Linked DNA regions of Drosophila melanogaster. The protein of the gene in region 2 purifies or fractionates together with the protein of the main gene of each other region. This does not show direct contact. Each region holds a gene or a part of one and is shown on either strand. Other genes may lie near its edges. The genes, in order: SmD2 and U2A.

The links.
Region 1: the proteins of U2A (region 2) and SmD2 purify together in Drosophila melanogaster (affinity purification with mass spectrometry, with the first as the bait; one large-scale study listed by BioGRID). This does not show direct contact.

The regions. Positions count from the first base shown.
Region 1 is NT_033777.3:6,340,191-6,348,457, reverse strand, and holds SmD2 (small ribonucleoprotein particle protein SmD2), read left to right. Parts: upstream 1-2,546; 5' UTR 2,547-2,685; coding exon 2,686-2,687; intron 2,688-2,821; coding exon 2,822-3,179; 3' UTR 3,180-3,447; downstream 3,448-8,267. Other genes in the region: CG18048 (uncharacterized protein), read right to left, coding at 940-2,265; CG17919 (uncharacterized protein), read right to left, coding at 3,448-3,927, 4,209-4,337; CG10298 (uncharacterized protein), read right to left, coding at 4,772-5,254, 5,308-5,388; CG17917 (uncharacterized protein), read right to left, coding at 5,622-6,122, 6,323-6,457; Osi20 (osiris 20), read right to left, coding at 7,362-7,801, 7,868-8,267.
Region 2 is NT_033778.4:7,674,862-7,678,328, forward strand, and holds U2A (U2A), read right to left. Parts: upstream 1,502-3,467; 5' UTR 1,375-1,501; coding exon 577-1,374; 3' UTR 501-576; downstream 1-500. Other genes in the region: CG12107 (uncharacterized protein), read left to right, coding at 34-229; LRR (Leucine-rich repeat), read right to left, coding at 2,781-2,873, 3,137-3,467. UniProt on the Drosophila melanogaster protein: Involved in pre-mRNA splicing as component of the spliceosome. Associated with sn-RNP U2, where it contributes to the binding of stem loop IV of U2 snRNA.

The DNA.
Region 1 (8,267 bases), on a different chromosome or scaffold from region 2:
ATCACATCTTAAACAGAGGGATATATTAAATAATGAGTTCAGTCATAGAACGGCTTAGATCTCTTCGTCGGTGATATACACTGATAAACAATTGGGAGCGGGTGGAAGATTGCATTAGTCAATCGAATGATCTCAAACTTGCCTTAGCCAACCATTTCAGGCCTGGAAAGTACTGTAATGCAAGTACTTGTATTAGTCAGTGTCAGTGACTAATTCCTTCCATACTCCTTTCAATAGGTTCATTCCTAGCCAGTTACTAGCTCACGTTGGTCTAAAAATCTTCTTAAAAGCAAGCCCATAAAAAGAGAGGTTGCTCGGATGACAGGACATTGGGCATTTTTTACTAATCTAGTCTATATTCGATTTAGTCCATCAGTAAATGAAAGATTAAATTAGGGTCATTCCAATGATGTTGAAGAACATCAAAGTCTTTAAGGATATGGGACTATTTAACAAACGCTTAGTTAAATTCAAATAGGTTTCTAATAATCCGATTCTCCAAAATATTGTTCATGTTGGTAAATTTAAATGTAATAAATAGTAAAAGATAAGTTCAAAATAAGCTATGTCATTTGTCAACATTTCCGTAACTCTTTTTTGTAACAATATATAAATTTTGCATGAACATTTTATGGTAATGACACCATTTAAATTGTGCAAAATAGCTCGATATAAAAAACATTAATTCTACAACTAAAAAAAATTACCTATGCGGACCGCTTCAATAAAAATGTCTTCCTAGCTAATAAATATTTTAATAAAGCGAAATAAAAATATGACATTGCATTTTCCTAGTTAAATATTTTTCGTCACAAAAGATGACATCAGAACATTTTTATGGCGATGGTGCGATCGTCACTAGTTTTTAGTAAATAATGAAAAATTTAAATCCAGGAGCAGGATATGAATTAAGGAAGGAGAAAAGTCATTTTACTTAAGTCAACAGCATTTATTTTGGTCCAGCTTAGGGCTGGTCGGTCTGGCCAGCAGAACCACGTTTTCCAAAGTCACATCCCTGGGAACATAGAACTTAAGTTCTGCTTGATATCCGTGGGATCGTAGATGCTCCAGTCGTCCATAATCCAGAACCCGCTTGCACTGTTGGCCAATTTGTTCGCGCTCCTGGCGAGTTAGACGCTGCGTGTTCGTCTCGGTGAGCTGAAAGTCAGCCGATTCCATGGCCTTACGCCGCTCTCGGCTTAAGCCCGTGCCACAAACTGCCCAACTGACCATTTTGGTTAGGATAACGAACTCCCGTGGTCCAATTCCAGCTTCCTGAAGAAACTTGCGTCCCACGTAGGAGCGCCAGGAGCAGCGATGATGACAACACAGGGCGATGAGAACGTAGTCCGAGCTGGCATTTCCATCACCGAGTATACATCTCAGGGTCAAGTCTGTAGCTGCTCCACAGAGGTGCTTCGAAAAAGCCACCGTTCGTTGGGTTTTCTTTAGCTCCGGCAGAGCAGAAAGCTTAAGATCAGCGATATCAGCACGGATACGTTGCACCACCTCCCTGTTGGCCAACTTGTTGTCCTTCTTGTGCCGCAGGGACATTCGATCGATGAGGACCACCTGTGAGTGACTCAACTTCTGTTCCTGCAATACGGTGGCCAAAAAGTAGGCCAATTGTCCCTTTCCGGCTCCGAATTCTATATAGCTCGTGTGATCCATCAACTGGTGATCGTGTTCCAGGATGCCCAGCAAGCTAGTGGTCTGGGTGAGCTGGCGTAGCGTTTCCTGGCCGTAGTCCTTGCGACTAAGTTCCTCCTTTAGGGATTCGTGCTCCAGCTGCAGTTCCTGTATGCTGGAATTGATGTGCTTGTCATACAGATTCTTAACTTTGTCGATCAGACTGTAGAACTCTTCATCCGCCAGTTCGTGCAGTTTTATTTGATTGAATTTGTTCAAATCTTCGTCTGTTTCCTTAAGATTGTCTCCAGAATTCACTCCTTTTACAATGTAGGGCAGTGAACTTTCCTGATCCCTGGCATTGCAAATGGTCAAGTGTTTGGCTAGTTTTCTTTTAAACACGGTATGTTTGTGATCAAGCGGGCAGGGAATACGTTCCTGGAAGGAATCTTCTCTAGCTTTTTCATCGCAAGTTGCAGTGGTGGCTGCCGATGAGGCATGGGCTCCACAAAACTCACTGCCCTTGTTTGCAGTCATCTTGCAGCGGCGCTTTTTGCGTAACACCCAGTAGGAGCAAGTGGTGGTTACCGGCTTCTCCGCCTTGACAGTGGTCATCGTCTCTTTCACAGGTTCCATTCGTTACTTTTATTTTCAAAATAAATTCCTCCCAATTCGGAACTCGTGCCAGGCAGTGTGACCAAGGCTGGCACACTAGATAACACTATTACCAACTTTTCACAAAAATGTTTTAACTATGGTCTTAAATATGTTTACACTTCTTACATTGAATATTTTAATAAGTTTTTTAATAAAAAACTCAAATTGAGCTTGATTTTTCAAAATAATAGTTTATTTAATTTACGCGAATGCCAAACGCCGATAGTTAGCTTTGAAATTCAGGGCTGGTCGAGTGCAAACGTCCTCAGAGCTGGTAACACTGCAAAAAAAACGAAGCCGCGCTGAATACTTTTGCCAACAATAAACGCAGAAAACCAACTGAGAAGCGAAACAAGAAGACTATCAACATCATTTAACAAGCCATAGTTATAATCCGCTATGTAAGTATCCCGGGGCAGATGGGACAAACCATCGGAAATGGCGTAACTGGCAGCGGCATGTGCGCCGGCATTTTGCATTGTTAGCACCACGCTCGAGTTGTGGGTGAAATACTAATGTACTGTGTTCTCTGCAGGGCTCTTGTGAAACCGAAATCGGAGCTGACCCCGGAGGAGCTGGCGCGGCAGGAGGAGGAGGAGTTTAACACCGGCCCGCTGTCCGTGCTCACGCAGTCCGTGAAGAACAACACCCAGGTGCTCATCAACTGCCGCAACAACAAGAAGCTGCTGGGCAGGGTAAAGGCCTTCGATCGGCACTGCAACATGGTACTGGAAAACGTGAAGGAGATGTGGACGGAGCTGCCGCGGACCGGTAAGGGCAAGAAGAAGGTGAAGCCCGTGAACAAGGATCGGTTCATATCGAAGATGTTCCTGCGAGGCGATTCTGTCATCCTGGTCCTAAGGAATCCCCTGGCCACGGCGGCCGGCAAGTAGTCTACCATAGCGATAGCGTACAGCAACCAATATCCATCAACTTCAGTTAATAAATCCGTAAATCAACCAAATAAGTTCTGTGGACCAAAATGTGCCATTAATTAAAAGTGTGAGCTATAATTTACGACGGAAAATATCCCATCCCAGTAACATATCCCATTATAAATTTGTATAACGAAAGTACAATCCGTAATCGCAATTTCTTATATTTTGATTAACATCTTTTAATCGATTTTTCCTAAAGTATCTGTTTAAGATTAAAACGGAATCAATTCTCCGAAAGTTGCTTGTGCAGTTTTGGAACATAGTCGTCGTACTGGGCTTGGTAGAAAGTTCCAGCAATGGGATTGCCCAACTCGTGATTGATGGCAAACTTGGCGGCACTGAATTTGGGGCGATCCTTGCGGGATCTCTTGCTCACGCGCTCCTCGTCGAACTCAAGTTTGCCGGACTGCTTGTACAGCAGGAAGACGTAGCGATGCAGACCCGTGCCCTGGGGCGGGCCGGAGCCAATGTACTCGGCGATGGGCTCACCACTTGCCAAGTCGTTGCCGGCGATGTTGGCCAGAATCCAGTGCTTGAACTCGCGGAACTTGGGCTCCGCTCGGCTGGGGGCATCGGGATCCGTCATAATGAGCGTGTAGAACTCCCCGGGCTGCGCGTCCCACTCCACGACTGGCTGATCCTTAACCTGGGTGGGCGTTAGCTCCACTCCATCCTTGGCCACCAGGTTGTTGCTGTACGTGACCTTGAATAGGAACGATTTCACAGTTATTTGCTTGATTTTTACATTGTTGCGATCTATCAGCTACTTTACTTTAAGTTAGCTACCTTCTGACCTTTGATCAGAAAGTTGTGACGAGATATTTATCTAGATTTCTATTAAGCTCGGGTGTTAAATGTTTGAAATATTTTAACCTGGTCTGCAAGCACGTAGTTGAGTACATACTATTCGGATCCAATTTATTAAGACAAAGATATCCTCTATATATTTGGATCTTTTTAGTGTGCTTTTGTTAGTGGCCCCACCTTTAACAACTGGTTCGGCGGCTCGGGAATAACGTCGGGTACCACCTGGTGGGATCTGAAAACCTCCTCCACGGAGCCAGCTTGAACGGCCAGTAGGCAGCCCACCAATGGCAGTAGCACTCGCAGCATCTTTGTGGAGAGATTATTCGGTAGACGATAAGATCTTGAGAAAACCAATATATAGGAGCTCCGCTTTCGAATAAGGTTGGTCTGCAACTGAAACCAGTTTGCCATGATGCCATACTTTTAAAGCGAAGCTCGAAGCTTTTTGTTTAGTAAACAGCTGGGAAAAAATATACTCAATAATTAAAGTTATCTTTGTTTAAAGTTTCGCTTCGGAGATTATAGATTATTATTATACATTATATTTATTATACATTTATTCATATTATTTGCAAATTATACCAGTTGGTAATAGAGTAATTAAAGGGACTGGATTTGAAAAAAAATATTTTTTAAATATATATTATAGATATTTAGAAATTTATCTGTTTTTACATGATTCTTTTTCTTTACAGCATGCTTTGTAGGGATTTGGGAGCCTAATTATGAGGAGAAAGATACTACTTCTTGCCAGATAGTTGCTTGTATAACTTGGGCACATAGTCGTCCCACTGTGCCTGAAAAAAGTTTCCGGCAATGGGATCTCCCAGCTTGTACTTGCTCATGAACTTGGAGGTGCTGAAATTGGCTCGCTTGTCGCCGCTCGTTTTTGGGATTTTGGGCTCGTTGCAAGTGAGCTTTTGGGGCTGTTTGAAGACCAGGAAGACGTAACGATGAAGCCCCGTGCCTTGCGGCGGACCTGCACCCACATATTCGGTCAAAACTACGCCGTTCTCGACTTGGTTCCCTGGAATATTGACCACCAGCCAGTGGTGCCACTCGCGGAACTTGGGCTCCTTGCGACTGGGCGCATCCGGATCGGTCAGGAGGAGCGTGTAAAAGGCATTCGGATCTGCATCCCATTTCACCTTTGGCTGGCTCTGCACTTGCGTGGGTGTCAATTCACCGCCTACATCCACCACCTGTCCACCACCATAAGTCACCTGGAACAACAAAATGACATGGACGATTGTAGGCGCTATTTGTATTAGCTTACCGTAAGCAAAGTGGCAGGACACGTCTTCAGGATATCCGGCACGATCTTGTGCTTAGAGAAGCACACGGTGGAATCGGACATTTTTAGCTGAGTGGGCAACAACTAAAATGAAATTTGAGGTGCCAGAAAATTTCGTATTTTAAGGCTACGCCGACTTTAATTCTAACATTTCTGGCTGATAGTCAATAGATAGCCAATATTTCCAAAAATGGTGTCCTTGTAATCTGACCTAAATATCCTTATAAGGACATACTTTCAATAGCTTCTTCTGAGATATATTTGGAATTATTTTTATTGGAAGCTGGACTCTAAATTCAAAAGTGTGCTACTTGACGGGCATTGTGCGAGATGGCTTTGATAAGGGATGGGACATCGGGGCTCCATTGGGATGTGAAGAAGTTCCCAGCTACCGGATGGCCAAATCTGTATTTCTTTGCGAACCGCTTGGTTTCAAAGCCACTGCGACCCTTAACCGAGTGCTTCGGCAGTTTCGGGAAGTCAAACTTGGTGTAGTCCCTCTGTTTGTAGAGCAGGAAGACGAACCGATGGGTTCCGGTCCCCTTCAGCGGAGTGGCACCCATGTATCCCACGCGCACGTCCCCAAGGGCCAACAGATTGCCGGGTATGTTGAGGACCATCCAGTGTAGGAACTCCCGGTGCGTGGGTGTTATAGCATTGGGTACGTCCGGATCCACCATCAGCAGGGCGTAGTAGTTTTCCGGTGCCGAGGGCCACTTTACGGAGGGTTCATCACGCACTTGCATGGGTTCCAGTACCTTTCCACAATGTGCTGCTAAATGCCCGTGGTAAGTAACCTTTTGTGGGAGCAATTCAATTTCATAATATGATTAAAAGTATATTATTTAATTTTGAACAGTTGCCTAGAAATACAATTGTTGAATTGGGCATAGCATACATTTTTTTGGTTAAACTAAATTGGAATTCAAATTCTTAGATATCCGAATATTATCTCTTAAATAATTCTTTATGAGATCATTATTTGTGTTTTACTCACATTAAGAAACTCCTGCGGTCCGATGTGTATTACATCTGGTATCACATCCAAGGACCTCATGATCTTGCTCACTTCCGTATCCGACTGATGAACTCCTCTAGTTGATTTGAGGCTCAAGCTTGGCGCGAATCGCATGAAAAGTAGGATACATATGCTAGCCAACATTGTGAACCAAGTCTTTCACTGACTTCAAATTGGCTGATTGCTGGCTTTAAATACCCATTGCATCTAACATATGTTTTCTGCCTGGCCAATTAAGCAGCAAACACAGATGTCAGTTCCATTAAGTTAAGGTACTTTGCAACTTCCTTACAACTTCATAAAACAAATTGTCGTGTCTCAGGCCAATTAATGGTTCACTACCACCACCCACAGCAGTTGCGTGCTGGCGAGTTCTGTAAACATACACTATAAAATCAGTTAGTACCTCGTTTAGTTGACTATTATGCTACGTGACCCCTCATTTACTTGCCATTGCCCAGAGCACTTCATAAGTAAGGCACATCAATGAATTTACTTAAAATTCTATTATATTATATACACCCAGAGAAAAGCCCGCTGTCAACGATCGCGATCTATCCAAGATCGAATCATAATTAGATCGAGATCGAATCATTCTCAGATTGCAAATGACCTTGCACAAAATATAATAAATATTAAGTTATTATATCTTATTTAATTTACCAATTTCCGTACCAAAAAACGTTGATGAATGTTTTAAATTTTTGCATTTTTAATAAATTAAATAAATATTAATTAAATTCAGTTTTTGGTCGTTTTGTGACAAAGAAACGAAGGCAAAAGGACGAAGAGTCAATGAGAAAGAAGATGGTATGAAGAAGATGGTAAAATCAGGCTAAGTGGGGATGTGGTTAGAGCTGAAGAATGGCTAAAACTCTCGCGTTCCTAACCCTAACAACTACAATTATGGCCTGGGGCAGGTTCCGGTTCCATTTGGTCTGTGTGACTCGCAGCCATCCTTCCTGGGAAGGATCGCAAATTCCTTGGTATGTACAATTGGGCGAATGACTTTCCCCGTTTAGGAGGACGAGCTGTAGCTGGACGAAGAACCCGAGGATCCCGACGAGGATCCCGAGGAGTAGGACGACGAGCTGCTAGGATGGTACGAGCTGTAGGCCAGGTTCTGCGAGTCCCAACGGGCATAGGGACCTCCGCTCATGGGCTCCCAGCTGCTGGGATCGTAGGATGAGGCGGTGGTGCTGGGCACTCCGTATTCGCTGGCCGGAACTGGGGCGGGCATGGGCACCATGTTCATCTTCATGCCTCCCAACTTCTGGATAAGGTTGTAGATCAGGAAGCCCAGCACCAGCTTGATGGCAATCTTGGACAGAATCAGAGCCTTGGTGGCCTTCAGACCGATCAGAGCCAGCAAGATGGGCATGATCACCTTCAGCTTGAACTTCATCAGCAGCAGCAGGGGCAGGAACAGCTTGTCCTTGTTCTTCTTCTCAGCGCGACCTAAAGGAATTACTTATAATTACAATCGCATTACATATAAAGGGTGATTTTAGCATGACTACTGACCCTCATCCTTGGGCAACTCCAGATCAAAACCGCGATCCGAGCGATAGGTCACCACGGAACCAGCGAAGAAGGTCTGTGGCAGCTGCAACCTCATCTCGTTGGTGTTCAGAATGCGGCCCAGGCGGTCCACAATGACCTTGTCGATTACATCGTCACCCAGGGCGCGTCCGCTGACCTCCTCCTCCACATTGGCTACCGTGTCCAGGTAGGTGAGCACCTTCTCCTTCAGGCAATGCATCGCATTGGCATGGAAGCACTTATCCACAATTGTCGAGATCAGCTCGTCGGAGCTGTGGATCCGCGGGGTCACCGCGTTCTCGATGGCAGCACCGGACACGGATGTGGAGGCCACCAGCAGCAGCGCACAACCGAACGCGAGCAAGGACGTGGAGCGGAAAGC
Region 2 (3,467 bases):
TCACTTCACTTAATCAATCCAATGCGCCCCCAGATTCGCCGGCATCAGCTGCGGGATCGTCTACCTGTACGCCATAAACTTTCAGAACGTGGACGAGGACGCCTACGGAGGGGTATGGGAGCTGATCAAGGAGGGGTTCATGACGTCGTTTGCCGGATTCCTGGTCACGTGGATCATCTTCTACACTGGCCTGCACTACGACGCCATAATGGCGGCGAAAGGATCTTAATAACACTCCCCAGCAATACCGGATTCCAGGAGCCAGGTCCACACCACACCACTCCACTCTCCACATAAGCCAGCAGCTCCTCTCGTTTTGTGTCCCCTTTGTACTCGCTGTAGATTGTTAAACTTTTAGCCAATTACGGTCATGTAAATGCATTTCTGTTGTGACCGATTGTCCCGAATCTTTCCGTGAAAGATCCTTCGGCCAGCGGTCTTAGTTGAAAACAGAAGATTCTATATGTTTTTGAGTGTCCGAAATGCAGAATGCGATGAATCAACTTTTGGTGTTTTATTAAAAAATATTGGTCTACGGTTATAAGGTAGCTGACAGATGAGCGGATAATTCTAGTCCTAGTATTCCATGGCCACGGCCCCCGAACCGTTGTGCCCCGCCCCGTTCTGTGCCACCGCCTCCATCTCGTGCTGAAACTTATCCGGCAGCTGGCCGCTTTGCAGGATCTGCGATAGACGCTCCACCTCTGCCAGAGAGCTGGCCCGCTTGATGGCCTCGCGGATGCGCTGCATGTCCTGCGGATTGGCCAGTCGTCCGCCTTCCGATCCCCTTCCCTTGCCATTCCCCGCCTCTGCAGCTATGGCGGCTGCGGCGCTCATCTTGGACTTCCGGCTAATCTCCTTTAGCACGTCCTTGCCCTGCTTGGTGCGGAAGAACTCCTGCGCCGCCTGGCGGTCCTTCTGCTTGATCTTCCTGAAGTCGAGTAGCCGCAGCTGCGGGAACTTGTAGGCCATGTACTCGCGGTAGTTGGGCTTCGTGGATACCGGGTTGATAAGCAGGCAGATGGTTTCCAGCTTGGTGAATCCGACCAGGGGCTCTAAGTCGCTCAGCTCCTGCAGGTTGTTGCCGGTGAGAATGATGGAGCCCAGGTTGGGCACCGCCTCCTCCAGCCCTTCGCTGATGCGCAGGATGCGGTTGTTGTTCAGCAGCAGGCACTTGAGGCGCGGCAGATGCGGCAGGTTGTCCAGCTTGCGCAGATCGTTGTCGGACAAGTCGATGGTATCAAACTGGTCCAGAGTTGCGCCCAGGTTCTCGATTTGTGGAATCTTATAGCCGCGCAAATCCAGCTCGCGCTCCCGGCATGGGTTTATGTATTGCATCGACTGGTTTATCAGCTCCGGCGTTAGTTTCACCATCTTGGCAGTTATAGTATGCTTACGTTTGGTCTTTACTCGGTCTTTTTATACTCTTTTGAAGCTTATTTTCCGAAATGCAGAAAAACAATTCGCTGCCGACGCGAGTTGGTGATGAACAGTTTTCCGATAGCAAGCAATGCCGGCATCGCTATCGATAGATCTAGTGGTAACAATGTTTTGGTATTTTATCGGTCTGCTGGGCTTCTACCATTCTAAATATCGTAATAATACTGGGATTACTCCAATGCTGCCAATAGGGCCCCTGATCTTTCGAAATTCAAAAATAAATAAATAACACTACTGTCCAATATCGTTTCCGTTTAATTTGAATTTCAATAGATTACAATGATGTTTTAATTGCTTAACTTTAATGAACACGTTAAGTTTCTCTTATTTCGTTTCGGGGTTTTGAATGAGAACGGGATACACTCAAAACTCGAAGTGTGTGGTCGGTGGTGGACTGGTTTAAAGTTTAAACGCTGCTCTGAATATATTCTGTGTCGTTGGTGCAAACTACTAGATCATCAAAATTGAAGTTGATCGTTTTGCGATAAGGGTAATTAGTTTTCTATAGATTTCGGTTTTCTGTTGTTAAATGGCTTAGTAATTTTATATCGGTTTCGTTTTCGCCTAGTTTCTTAAATTGTTAACTATTTAGAAAATAATCAATAAGATCGTCGGTCTCCGCCTTGTTTCTAAATAAATGCATTTGTTTCTGGCGGCATAACGCGCCTCAAAATTTGAAAACGGATTGTCGCTTAAATACTATAAATACTATAAGTATGTGTATAGGGGAGGTAAACAGAAAAGGGGAAATAATAAACCATAAAGTTTGTATTTGGAAGCAGTTATAAAAAATATTATATTTCATTTAGATTTTTTTAGGTTTAGCCCATTAAAATAGTTCTTATACACTCAATCGAATTACATAATATGTATAGTGTATCATATTCATTGCGTTATTTTCGTTAGTTTCATTGAAATTGATGTAGAGCACACGCTAAAAATATTTGTAGATTAATTCTGTATATAATTGGCACTTAACTGATTTAAATACATAAAAATATAAAATATAGTACACAAAACATTTTTAAAAATATGCAAAGGTTAATTTGGATAAAAGTATCAGGGTTTGTATCAATAAATAAATCACGTTCATTCTAAATTGCCAAATGAAAACAACACACACGCGGCATTGCACATAAATTAATGGTTCAGTACGATAAGTTGCAACCTTGTTTCCCTCTATCCTTCTGTCTTCACCATTTCATCTCATTTCCTCCTTATCATCAGTATCATCACTTAACGTTATCATCAACCCTACTATCTATCACGTGAAACTGTGGCAGGTTGGGTGAAGGACTAGGGATCGACGTGAGGGAATGTTGAGCATATAACTAGAACACTTATAAATCAACGACATCCTCCTTGGTGTAGGTCGAGTCTCTAAAACCGCGTCTGGTCGCCATGCTCTGCTGCAGTTCTTCAACTAATGTCTCCTGTGGGTAAGTGGAAGAGTGATTCTATTAGACGGCTCGATTAAATAGGAGCTAAACAGGCAAACACAAACTAGATGAAATTACAGGCAAAATGCGGCATACTGGCTAATACGACACAACTTAAGGAATACACACTATGCAGCAAATGCGAATGTTAGACGCACAGGATGAGCACCGAAATCAACCAAGCGAAGTAGCCAGCCAATTTTGATCGCTGATGAATAAAAGTTATCGCATTGCAGCTCCGGCCTCGGAGATCAAACCTCGAATAGCGTGGAGATCTCCTTGCCGGCTATCCGCTTCACACCACCACTTTCTGCGCAGCTTCCAGACTTGGCGCCCAACTGTCCGTTGCGCATACTGAGGATTTCGTTGCTGATTAAATTGGCACAGGCCTTGGCATGCTGCTTCTCGTAGCTGCTGGATGAACTGCTGCTAGTGCTGGTGGTGCTGCGCTCTGTGATGGTCTCGGTGCTGTCAGTGCTGCTGGTCGAGCTTACGATCCGTGATCGTGTCTGGCTCTGGTTTAATACTGTCATCGATGTGTTGGCGTTCGTGGATGAGCTGACTGATACACTATTGGAGGTGGAGCCT